Linked DNA regions of Tamandua tetradactyla. The protein of the gene in region 2 interacts with the protein of the main gene of each other region in a pairwise test. Links are inferred from orthologs where the notes say so. Each region holds a gene or a part of one and is shown on either strand. Other genes may lie near its edges.

What was found. The genes of interacting proteins can lie anywhere in the genome.
Region 1: the proteins of FHL3 (region 2) and SPMAP2 interact in binary tests that used the Homo sapiens proteins (3 or more experiments, as listed by UniProt). The two-hybrid records come from large-scale screens. The link is inferred for Tamandua tetradactyla from reciprocal best matches to the Homo sapiens genes FHL3 and SPMAP2.

What each region holds. Positions count from the first base shown.
Region 1 is NC_135337.1:82,525,698-82,531,643, reverse strand, and holds the start of SPMAP2 (sperm microtubule associated protein 2), read right to left. Parts: upstream 3,649-5,946; 5' UTR 3,595-3,648; coding exon 3,275-3,594; intron 2,642-3,274; coding exon 2,525-2,641; intron 2,353-2,524; coding exon 2,293-2,352; intron 1,942-2,292; coding exon 1,880-1,941; intron 1,088-1,879; coding exon 1,018-1,087; intron 1-1,017. UniProt on the Homo sapiens protein: May be involved (but not essential) in spermatogenesis.
Region 2 is NC_135328.1:187,329,749-187,335,694, reverse strand, and holds the start of FHL3 (four and a half LIM domains protein 3), read right to left. Parts: upstream 3,766-5,946; 5' UTR 3,650-3,765; intron 3,227-3,649; exon of another isoform or gene 3,069-3,226; intron 1,778-3,068; exon of another isoform or gene 1,265-1,777; intron 706-1,264; exon of another isoform or gene 260-705; intron 16-259; exon of another isoform or gene 1-15. UniProt on the Homo sapiens protein: Recruited by SOX15 to FOXK1 promoters where it acts as a transcriptional coactivator of FOXK1.

The DNA.
Region 1 (5,946 bases), on a different chromosome or scaffold from region 2:
AGCTCGTAAATGCTCTCAGCCAGACGGTGGAAGGTCTGTAGTTATGCCACCTCGAGATCCCCCGGGTTCCTGCTGCAACCACTTCCAACAAATTCGGCGCCTTCCTGGCTCTACAGGTGTAGTTTAAATTGTCTTCAAAGAGATTCCATGATGACCCAGCATTACAATGAAAACTGACTGTGGACACGGACAATTGTGAAAGGAGTATGGGAAGGGCACAAAACACCCTAGAGTTGAAAAGTGATTCAAATGAGTTGGACCCAGTGCAGCGAATTTATCTCAGCCACATCTTTCTTCCTTTTCTTGCATGCATCAAGATATGGAATTAAAATGCATGCTGTGACAGATAGGTTCAGGTGTCAAATTGGCCAGGTGATGACGTCTTTGTACGTAGGTATTCAGTGTGTGAAATTCCTCTATCCACACTCAGCTAAGGGGAGTGCCTTCCACAATGGGTGACATTTAATTTCATTAGCTGGAGGCTTAAAAGAGAGGTCAAGAGAGAGCTCAACACAGCACAGCCCGAGCAGCTCAGCATCCCTCATGTCAGCACTCGCAGCTCAGCCCAGACATTTGGAGACGCAGAAAGGAATCGCCTGAGGGAAAACCACTGGAATCCAGAAGCCGGAAGTGAAGGTCAGCGGACATTTGCCGTGAGCCTTCCCATGGGACAGAGAAACTCAAATGAAAGTTAGTTGCCTTTCCTTGGAAGAACTATACAATTTTAATTAAACAAATCCCTTTATTAAAAGCCGATCCACCTCTGGTGTCTTGCATTCTGGCAGCTTTAGCAAACCGCAACATATGCCTACCTAACTCTAAGGATCAGTTTTAATGGGCATGGAAGTTCCAAGGGATGGAAAGGAGTTGTCGTTCAATTGTCCAGCTGTGGCCAAGCCCAGTTCGAGGTTGGCTTCTCCGGCGGCCCTTTCCCGTGCCATGCGCTGCCAGGGGACCCAAGAGGGGTCTGCTGCCCAAATCTGCCCTCCCAGAGCCCCCCCAGCGCTCGCTCCCTACCTGTTATTGTTGTAGTACTCCAGGTAGAACCTTTTTGGTCGTGACAGCTCCTCCACTCGAGGAGACACCGCTGCGCAAAACGGGAGCCCATGGTCACTCAGAGCCCAGAAGACAAGTGAAGAGTGCGCCGCCCACCGGCCCAGCCCCGGACCCCAGCACGTAGGCAGCGTCTGCTGTCCGCACTTGGGGGGAGTCAGGCTCGCAGGCCTGAAGTCTGTCCCAGGGCTGGGGTGGCCTCACAGGTTCCAGAGGGGTCCGAGGACCCCGGCTGGGAAGCGGGCTTGGCCTGGAGTTGGTCTGGGCTTAGGGCTCACTTTGGGGAGAGGGTGCAGCCCCCACAGAGGGAAATGCTGCCACTTCTCTCCAATAATGAGCTTCCTTTGCACATTTTATTTGAAGAAACAGATCCACTCCTCTAAAGAATTGTGCAAATGATGATAGGAGCGGAGGCTAAGGGTCTTCTTATAAACTAAATGCTAATTCCCAGTGTGGCTGGGGTGCAAATGCGGATTTCTGCTGGAGAGTTTGTCTCATACTCTCACTCCTGGCATGCAACCTCAGCTGAGGGACAGAGACTAGAGATGGGAGAGGGAACAGGCTGCAGAGACCTCTGGGAGATGGGGATGGAGCTCAGGGCCTCCCAGGTGGTCTTGGGATCCCAGCTGGGCCAGGATGGGGTGGGGTGAGCAGCACCCCTGCCCCCCACCCCCCCTGCCCCAGCTCCCGGCCCCCCCCCAGCCCCGCCCCTGCACCTTGCCCCAGCTCCTGGCCCAGGACCACCCACCAGGACCAGCACCCAGGGTTGGGACCGGGCCGCCCCGCTGACCCCCGGCCTGCACCCTGGAACGTGCAACGGGCTTACCAGGCACCGTGACCGACAGGGTGGTGTCCTCGAGAAACCTCTCCGTCCAGTACACGGATGGCCTGGAATACAGCCAGGGGTGGCTCAGAGGGGTGCCACCCTGCGCTGAAACAGAGGCTTGGGTGCCCCCTGAACACACAGACGTGGAGGGGGACAGCAGGCAGGGCCACAGGGGGATGGGAAGGGCAGGCAGAACTGGAGGGCAACAGGGGAGGGGCGGTCACCGAAGGACAATAAGGCAGCCACTGGGAGCCCCCAGAGCCAGGCTGGGGCACAGAGACACTGGCACCCAGGAAACTGCCCAGTCCGCCTGGCCACAGCGGCACTGGCCCAGGGACCCACTGGGAGCCTTTCCCCTGACGTTGGCCCTGGAGGGGGGGGGCAGCTCCAACAGAGGGAGCCCCCAGACTTACCAATAGAGGGAGAACTGCAAGGTCATTTTGCAAGGGGACATCCAGGCAGTGCAGCCCATCCTGCCAGGAGACGGGGGCCGAGGCCCCAGCGCCCTTTGCTCTGGACCTCCTCTCGCTCCTTCGGTCGCCACCCAGCCCACCTGGCGCCCTGGCTCCCCCGTGCTGACGGAGGGGAGACGGGGGTGGGGGAAACCGAGGGGACTGGGAGACTGCACCTCTGAAGATCCCTCACCTGTCTTTCAAGACTTGCCAGTTAGTCTTGGGTTTGGCCAGCTCGAGCACCCGTCTCCTCCTCCGCTTTCCCTTGGGCCTGCAGGCGTGGGGCGCCTCCTGGGTGGCGGAGAGCCGGCTTGGGGACAGCGGGAGCCGAGCTGGAGGGCCTCGCACGAGCCTCTGCTCCTCCCCCGGGGGGGCCGGACCCTGGGGCTGGACTCGCCACCCCTCACCCGACATGACAAGCCTAGATCTTTGGGGCCACCAAGGAGCTCTGTCCAGAATCGGTCCCCCAAATCGCCTGCCACATATTTCTCCTAACCACTCCTGAAGCGTCGGGCAATTTGCGACGCTGGGAAACTTTGGATCTGGGAGATGTTTTCTCTCCCCCTTTTGCCTCTCTGGCGGGGACGCCCGACCCCAGCCCCAGCCTTTCCTACCGCCCTCCGGTCACCTCCAGGACAAGGGTGGTGCTGGCTGACTTTCAGCTCAAAGGTTGGGGAGGGGCACTGCCCACCCCCACCTGGCTACCCTCAGGGGGAGGCCCCAGGAGGAGACCCCTGGAAACCCCAGAAGACCTGGGAAGAGACCCAGGAGGAGTCTCGAAGACAATCCACAAACCAACCTCTCCCTGGCGTCCAGAAGATCCAAGCCACAGGCATGGAGGGGGCATGGGGGGGACTGTGGGGTGGTCTTGCATGGGGTCCGCCCTTCCCCCTCTCCCAAGCACCCCCAAGCGCCCCCCAGCCCGGCCCCCACCCACGCCTACCTCACTTCGGGAGCATCCTCGTCTGAGCTGGGCTCCAGGACCCTCTCCAGCTCCGAAAGGGCCCCTTCCGGGTTCTGGGTGTCCAGGAACTCTCCCCCCATGTCCTCCTCGGACACAGCCTCCTCCTCCTCCTCCTCCTCCTGGTTTTCAGATCCCGGGCCCTCATCCTCCACGTCCTGGTACTTGGGGTCCTTGAGCCCCGGGACCCCGAACCCGGCGGCCCGGAGCCCCAGGGCACTGTCATCCCGCCCTGCGTCAGACCCACTCACACCCTTGGAGGTGCGGCGGCCGCTGCGTGAGCCCTGCCCTTGGTCCCCCATGTGCCACTCAGACCGACGTCCTCCTCTCGCAACACCCAAATGGCTCCGGGGTGGCTGTGGCAACCGGAGAATGTTCTGGCCACATTCCAATTTTTGCCCACATTCCAATCCCCACGCTGTCCATGCCGCCACCCCACCTGCGTGGCCCCAGACCCCGCACGGGCCCTCTCGCTCCTCCAAGTAGTCCCAGCGGCCACCACCTCAGGGCCAGCACACTGGCCATCTGCAGCTTGGATGCTCTGTCGCATCCACATGTACAGTAGTTTGGAAGCTGCTGGAATGCAATATACCAGAACTGGAGCGGCTTTTAAAAGGGGGAATTTAATAAGTTAACATGTTTATAGTTCTAAGCCTATAAAAATGTCCAAACTAAGGCATCCAGGTAAAATACCTTAATTCAAGGAAGGTCGGTGGGTCAGAAACACATCTGTCAGCTGGGTCGCCACATGGCTGACATCTGCTGGCCCCTTGCTCCTGGGCTCTGCTGCTTTCAGCCTCTGTTCCTGTGGGGTTCCTCACGTTGCTTCTGCAAGGCTGGCTTTCATCTCTTGGCTTCCCTCGGCTCCTCTGTCACGTGGCAAGGCACATGTTCTGGCTTACTTAGCATCTCATGAAAAGGCACAAGGCACATAGTGACGTCTGCTGGGATCTGCCTGTGTCTAGGCATCTGCTCTCTCTGTCGGCACTCCAAGCGTCTCTAAACATCCGTGTCTCTGTCAGCTCTGAAGAAACTGTTCCCCAAGCATCTGCCTCTGAGATTTCTCCAAAATGTTTTCCCTTTTAAAGGAGTCTAGTAAACGAATCAAGACCCACCTGGAAAGGGTGGAGTCACATCTCCATCTAAGCAAAAGGCCACACCCACAATTGGGCATGTCACACCTCTATGAAAACAATCCAATCAAAGTTTAAACCCTAAACGATAGGTCTGGCCCCTCAAGATTGGATCAGGATTAAAACATGGCTTTTCTGGGGTACATAATAGTTTCAAACCCGGCACACACCTTGACTGAAGTAGTCTCATCAAAAGGTCCTACTTACAAACAGTTCACACCCACTGGAATGGATTAACTTTTACAAACGTGCTTTTCCAGGGTGCCTACAGCTCCAACCCACCACAAATCCACACAAATGGAAAACTAAAGAGGGAGGGAGAAAGAGGAAGAGAGAGGCAAGGGAAGGAGAGGAAGGGAAGGAAGGATGGTTGAATAACCCAGTCTCTGAACTTATTTTGGAGAATCTCCAAATTGAGCAGGACCTACAGAAAAATGCACCCCCAATTTGGGCAAGCTCCTAATTCGTCCATTCCACAACAGACTGGCCATGTGGTCAGGGACAGTGCCCAGAGCAGAAGCTGGGAAGCCTCCCTGGGACTCGTGCTCCAGCAGATGCCGTGAGGCGGCTGCTCCCCAAAGATCCGCCATCGATTTCCTGCTGCTCCCCCATCACAAAGCGGGGTCCATTCCTCCCTCTTGGAGCTGGGGGGCGGAGCTGTGGCCACTCGGTCCCACAGAATGCAGCGGTCGTGAAGTCGTGGGAGTCCCAGGCCCAGCTCCAGCGCTAGCATTTGGAGTCCAACAGCCATGCCATGAGGTTCCCTGGACTGCTCCTGGCAGGCAGCCAAGGGGCTGGGGTGTCCAGTCCACGGAGCAGCCCAGACGCAGAGGCGTGAGGTTGCATGCCTGTGAGCTTGGGCCGGTTAAGGATCTGGCTCCTGGGTGAACAGGGTCTCGCACACGCCTTTCGGGGGTGGGGGCTGGGGGTCCTGCATCCATGTCATGGGCCTCTACAGAGGGGGCTCTACAGAAGGGCGTTGCACTTCTAGCCTCTGAAACCGCGAGACCATAGAGGCTGGGGGTTTGAGCCCCCCGTGTGGCATGTGTCACTGCAGCTGGCAAGCTGAGATGCACAGATGTCAGCTTCACCAGCCATGCTGTCGGGCACAGCGAGTCCAGGCAAGACAGCGGGGTCCACCCCCAGCTCCCAGCCTCTCCTTCATCTGCCAGGGGTGCCTGCTCTGCCCTTCATGCTCCTCCCTAACCATCACCGCCTCCGAGAAGCCCTCCAGACCAGCTACCTAATTTTGGCCTTGCTCGTGTTTCTAACTAAATCTATGGCGTGTTTTGTCTGTGCCATGGCATTTGCATGACCTGCTGTGTATTGGAATTTCTCACTGAGGCCAAATACACATAAAATGAACTGTTTTAAAGTGAACGACTCAGGGCACTTAGGACATTCATGACGCGAATGTAAAAGCCACCGCCTTTATCGAGTTCCAGGACTGTCTCATCCCCGGAGAGCACCCCCATACCTGTTAGCAGCACCCCCTCCCCATCCCCTGGCAACCCCTGACCT
Region 2 (5,946 bases):
GACATAAAAAGGAACCCCTCAACTGCAGCTCCCCCCCCATCAGACCCCAGTGACTGGCTGTCCCCAGAGCCTGCCCTGGCTCAAGTTGAAGGAAAAGCCCTCCTTTTTTTAGCCACCCCCCGCGGGAAATTCTCGCCAGCAAGCGTTGCTCTGGCTTGAAGCTCAGACTCCAGGCGCCAGCAGACGCCTGGAGGGCCTGGCTCTTCTGAAGGGGGTGGCTGTGAGATCTCAGCTTCTGTTCTATACAATGGGAGAATACCTGGTTTGCACTACAGACCAGCACAAGAGACGACTCAAGGGGCTGTCTTTAGAATGGGACTCCTGGGGTGGGGGCTATGCTAGGTGGAGGAGCTCCTCCCTCTCAACTCCTCCTCCCCACTTAGGCCAGATTTTCCTTTGGCAGCCCAACATCTGAGCCTGGTCTGGGCTATCTGCCACTGGGCAGCAGGGGTCACCCATGGAGTGGTCTGTCAGACAGTGCCCTGGGCCCTTTCCTTCCTTTCTTGCTAGCCGGCAGCAGCAGCCATCTTCCCAGGCCCAGGCTAGCCCTGGGTCCGCCCTGTGGTAGGCAGTCACCACTGTGAGACAGGGCACCCCAAATAGGGTATGGGTGTGGCTTGGTTCCTTCCCAGAATCCCCTAGTCAATCCAGCTGGGCTCTGGTGAGGACAGAGTGAAGGGCACTATCAAGGCCCACCTGTCTCTGCCCATCCCCCTTCCTCCCTTGCCCCCACCCCCACCCCTGGCCCCTTTCCCTGGCAGGGACTGTGGAGGGAGTCAGCCTTGTACTCCTTCCTGGCTGGGGGTTGAGGGGAAATGCTCCGTCTGGCAGATGGCTGTCAGCCCCTGCCCCCACTGATACACACACACATCCTGACCTAGACACACACACCTGGCACCTCCCAGTAACACTCCAGGAGCTCAGACTGGCTGGATACTGGGCTGTGGTTTGTGGTGTGGAGATGTTTGAGCTGTGAAATCATAAACCTGGGTTTGAATCCTGGCTCCCTCACTTACAAACTGGGTGACCTTGGACAAGTCACTTAAGCTCCCTGAGCGTCTTTTTGTTCTTCGTTTTTTAAATCTGACATTCTCAGAGTAAGCCCGGGGAGAGAATGTAGACAGAACCCCCAGTTCTTCTGGGAGAACAGAAGAGGCCTCAGGCCCATAGGTTTGCTGAAGAGACCAGTGGGGCCAGAGGTGGCTCCATCCCAGTCATTCTAACTGCAGTGAGAGTCCTCATACAGGGACACATGTCAACATACCTGCATGCTCCTCTGCTTCCCACAGATGCATCACACCCACCATCTCATCAGATCTCCCCAAGGGCAGGCGGGTAGATTCTCCAGCTCATTTTACAGGTAAGCATGAGGAGGCCACGGCCAGGGCAGGAGCATGCCAAGGTCACTCGGGTAGTCAGAGTCTAGCACTCCTGCCTTCCAACCCTTTGGGAGAGGACTGTGGTGACGGTGGACGGGGTAGTCAGAATTTAAGGGCAGGGGGACAGGAGATGCCTGGCTATGTCACTAGAACTGCAGTTTGGCTCTTTTCCCCATTGAACCCCCAGCTGCCAGCTCTGCAACTGGAAGACACCCAGAGGCCTTTCCAACTACCCATGCCAACTGCTCAGCCCTTCTGTTCCCCCTTCTCGCCCCCACTGTCCAGGAGGGCCCTGGCCAGGCCCCACAGCTGTGAGTCAGGATCAGAACACAGCCCTCCCCCAGCCCCCAGGAGCTGACAGGAGACTTAGGGGAGAAACCAACTCCCTTCCTCCCCCCACCCCAGCTACCAGGCACCAACCCCAAACTCACCCCAGTCCCTCCCCTCCCCCTATGGGGCCTAGAAGTCAGAGCAGTTTGGGGATGGGATGGGGGAGGGGAGGGGAGCAGGATCCAGCAGCTGCCCTGGGGATAGGAGAGGAACAGTGCATTCACCCCGGGTCCCCCAGGGCTAAAGCAGCGTGTCCAAGATTTGAGTTTAAAAATAATTCACACTGTCTTGATGGCTGCGTGTGTCCATCGGGCTCCTTCTTGGTCTCAGTCTTACCACGTCAGGTCCTCTGTCTCCTGAAGGTTCAGTAGGCTCACAGTTTCTGTTTCCCCACATCCTGATTCTCCAATCTTTTCAGGCCTGGCATCTCAGGGTCTGTCTTGGAAGCTGTCAGCATGCCCCCGTCCTTCTGCCTCCATTAAATCTCACCCTTTTTCTTTCTAGCTCTGTTCCCAGCAATTGTCTTTATGTTTTGGGGGGGGGGTGTCACTGTATGTCCAAATGGCTATCTCCGAGTGGGGGCTGCTACTGCTCTGAATTTCTATCTCTATACACCAAAGTCTTAGTCTCACAGTGTCTCTATCCTGCTGAGCGTCTTGTTTCTCTGATTTCTGTCTCTGTGCATCCAAGTCACTATCTCTGTCCCTTAGCATCGCTACTCTATGTCTCCGTAGGCCTTGCAGAGGCCGATTTTCCATAAGCTAATGAAGTTGAAGCTTCAGGACCCCTCACTTACCCAGGCCCCTCCGAGGCCCTGGGAGGAGCCCTAGCAATGTATTCATGGAGTCATATCGGTGCTTTTTGTGAAAGTGCTCCACAAAACCCAGATTTGCCCCTGTGCTTCGCATCTGTCTCCCTGACTGTGTATCCAAGACTCTGCTCCTATTCCGAATATCTGTGTAGCCCCCTGTCTGCAGCCAGGAGCTTAAGTCTGTCGCTCGTGTCCCTGTCTCTGTCTCAGCGTCTCGCTCCACTGAGGTTTCGGTCAGCCTCAGTTTCTCGTACCCCACCCCCCCGGTCTCCCCAGGCCAGAGTCCCTGTCTCTCTCTATAGCCTAGCTTTTGTATTCCAAACTTCGTCCCCTCCCCCGCCCAAATCCTGCCGCAGCCCCCGCCCCGCCCGAGGGTCCGAGGCTGTCCGGTCCGGTGCTGGGAGACCCCGGCGCCCCCCACTCCAGGCGTACGCCTCGTCACGCGCCCACGGCGGTAGACCTGGGCGGGGGGCGGGGGCTGGGACCCGCAGCTGCCCTTAGCCCTCTGCAGGGGCCAGGATTCCGAGCCGGCTCGGCGCGGAGCTCACCTCCTAGCCCGGGGCAGCGCTTGCGCGGGTGGGGCCGGGAACCCGGGGCCGCGTCCCTCGGCGGCTCCTACCTGCCCGCGGGGTCGAGCAGGGACCGAGCGAGCTGCCGGCGAGGCTGTGGGCTGTGAGCCGGACTGTGGGCGAGTAGGAGCGCGGCCCCAACCCCTCCCCGAGGAAGTGAGCGCGGGAGCCCGCCCCGCCCGGACCCCGCCCCCGGCCCCTGCCCTCCCCCCACCCCCATTCCCGCTGGCGGGGTGCGGACCCCGCCCCTGGCCCCCCATCCCGGCTGCGGGGGCCAGACCCCGCCCCCACCGCTCCTTTAGATTTGAGCCCGCCCCCACCCCAACCTGACTCTCCCAGTCCTTCTACCGTAGCCAATACCCGGCCGTGCCCCCTGCTTTCAGCCTTGCTAGTCTCTCTCCTTACCCGCCCCCCCCCCCCACATCCCATTCCCCCAACTGCAAGCGGGGACCTGCTGTATTCAATCCCAGGAAAAGGGGTACAGGACCCAGCAGTTCAGGGTCCATTTGGGGACGAAAGTGTCTTCATTCAGTCCTTGTGTCCCCCCCACCCTAGTTTACCCCCAGGAGGTTGCAGCCCAAGTGTGTGAAGGAGGCCTGAGTCTGTCCTGGAGGAGGGGTGGTCTTGACTCTGCTTTGACTCCAAGACTGAGGTGTTCTCTGGAAACATGGGGTGAAGAGAGGGCCCGCCTATGGGGCCCTGACCTTTAAAGGGCTTCATCCCACAACTCTGAGTAGCAAAATCAGAGCTAATCACCTTCCCACCTCAGGCTGCAGTTTGGCACGGAGAAGCCCTGCCTCTGCTTCCACAGTGCCCAGGAATAGTTTTGACCTTTGAGGCCCAGGGGAGACCCTAATCCTTGGCCCCACGGTCTTTGAGCTTCTTGGGGGGGGGGGGGGTGAGTGGATGGGGCCCTGAAGGAGGGGTGGTGCGTGCCTGTGTGAGAGAACAAACACCACCCTGCCAACCCCCACCCCCCTGCCAGTTTTTGATCCTCTGGCTTGCTTCCTCCCTGTGCCCAAGAGAGAGGGCTGCATGCCTGCCAGGAACACAGGGCCCCTCCGGGTCCTTAAGGCCACCCCCCCTGGGATCCTCAGGCTTGTCACTAGGAATAAATAGCCTAGATCTAGAGGGGTGGAGGAGGGAGGGAGGAGGCTGTGCTGTGCAAAACAAGAGACAACAAAGCAGTCCTGGAAATAACCTCTAGTATCTAGATTAGAGATTCAGATTCAGGTGCTCACAGAGGACGGACACACACAAACACCGGCTACATCCAGCAGATTCTTAGAGCAGAGACTCCCTCCCTGACTGGGGCTCCCAAAGACCCTCTCCTCCCAACTCTGAATCACATCGCTGGATTCCTAAGTCCTAAGTTTGCCCCCGAGGCCAAATTTCCTTTCATATATAATAATGGCTTGTTTATTATTATCGTTACTGCCTAAACTGTAAGTTTCATGAGGGTGGGTGCTGGGCCTATCTTGTTTACCACTGTGTTCCAGTACCTGCTCTAGTGTCTGGTTCATAAGAAATTTCTAATGAATGAACAAATTAAAGACACTGCTTCAATCTGGACCCCTGCCTCCTAGTTTGGACCACAGGCACCTGCTATTCAGGGGTGAGCAGCCAGCCCGTGGGTGGGCCCCTTTTCTGGGACTGAGGTCAGCAGAGTCTGAGGATTTGTCTTCTAGGAGTAGGGGACTAGTAGGGGACTCCTAGCACTGGGTAATACAGAGATGACTCTGCCAAGTTGGAGGAGATGGCAAGAGGGGGTCTGTTCAGGGTGAGAGGTGACAGCTGTGAGTAAAGACAAGGAGGCTTCAGAAAGGGAGGAGTTATGAGTAAGAAAGATGCTGGATCTGAGGCAGTGTATTGGAGTTTCTACTCTTTACGCCTGGTTGCAATTTCTGCTAAATAACATAATAATATTTCCAGAGTTCTTACTTTGCACAAGTCCCTGTCTAAGCACTTTATAAATGTTAATTCACTTGATCGTCCAACGACTTTATGAAATATGTATTTTTATTTCCATTTTAAAGAAGAGGAGATGGAAGCACAGAGAGATAAAGTAATTTGCCCTGAATAATACAGCTAATAATGGCAACGCTAGGATTCAAATCTGGACAATCAAATGCCAATACCTCTTATGCCAAAAGGAGCTCACTATTCGGCTCCATAGCCTTTATAATCACTTGACCTCTTAAGCCTCAGACTCCTCATCTGTTAAGAGTTGTTGAGTACCTATCCCACAGCACTGTTGTGAGGATTGAAAGAGAGCACACAGTAGGTCTTCAATATGTGGTAGTTACTCCCACCTTACACCCCTCTCTCAACCTTTATCCCTCTCACACCCTTTCTTGGTCAAGTGCTAAGGTTCTTCTGCTCAGGCTTCAAGTCAAGAGGCCAGAGAAAGTTAGGAGACCTCTAGCTTGGCCTGGCCTGGGAAGGGAGATTGGCTTTGGGAAGGGGGGCTGTGTCCTTTTCCCTCCCCATTTCCAGCTCCCTAATGGGCTCACATTTCCCTGCCCACTCTATTTCCACTGGGCCTGAGGACATACTCCAGGGGGGCCAGGGGGATCAGCCACATGGACTCCCTGTTCCTGTTCCCTATCCCTCCTCCCTCCCCTCTCCAGGCAACAGGTGTGATTGAGCTGGGGCTGGAAGCAGAGCCCATGTGCTGGATGACTGGGGTGAGTGGGATCTGGCTGTCCCTTCATTCATTCAGGAGGTTCCCACACAGCCTTCCTTGTCTCATTGTGGAAGGGGGCTTGCCGTTCCCCGAGCTGTTCTCCCACCTTGAAGGTGTTTTCAAAAGGAGGCCCTGGGTGAAGACTGACAAGCATCTCATGGTTTCCTCTGA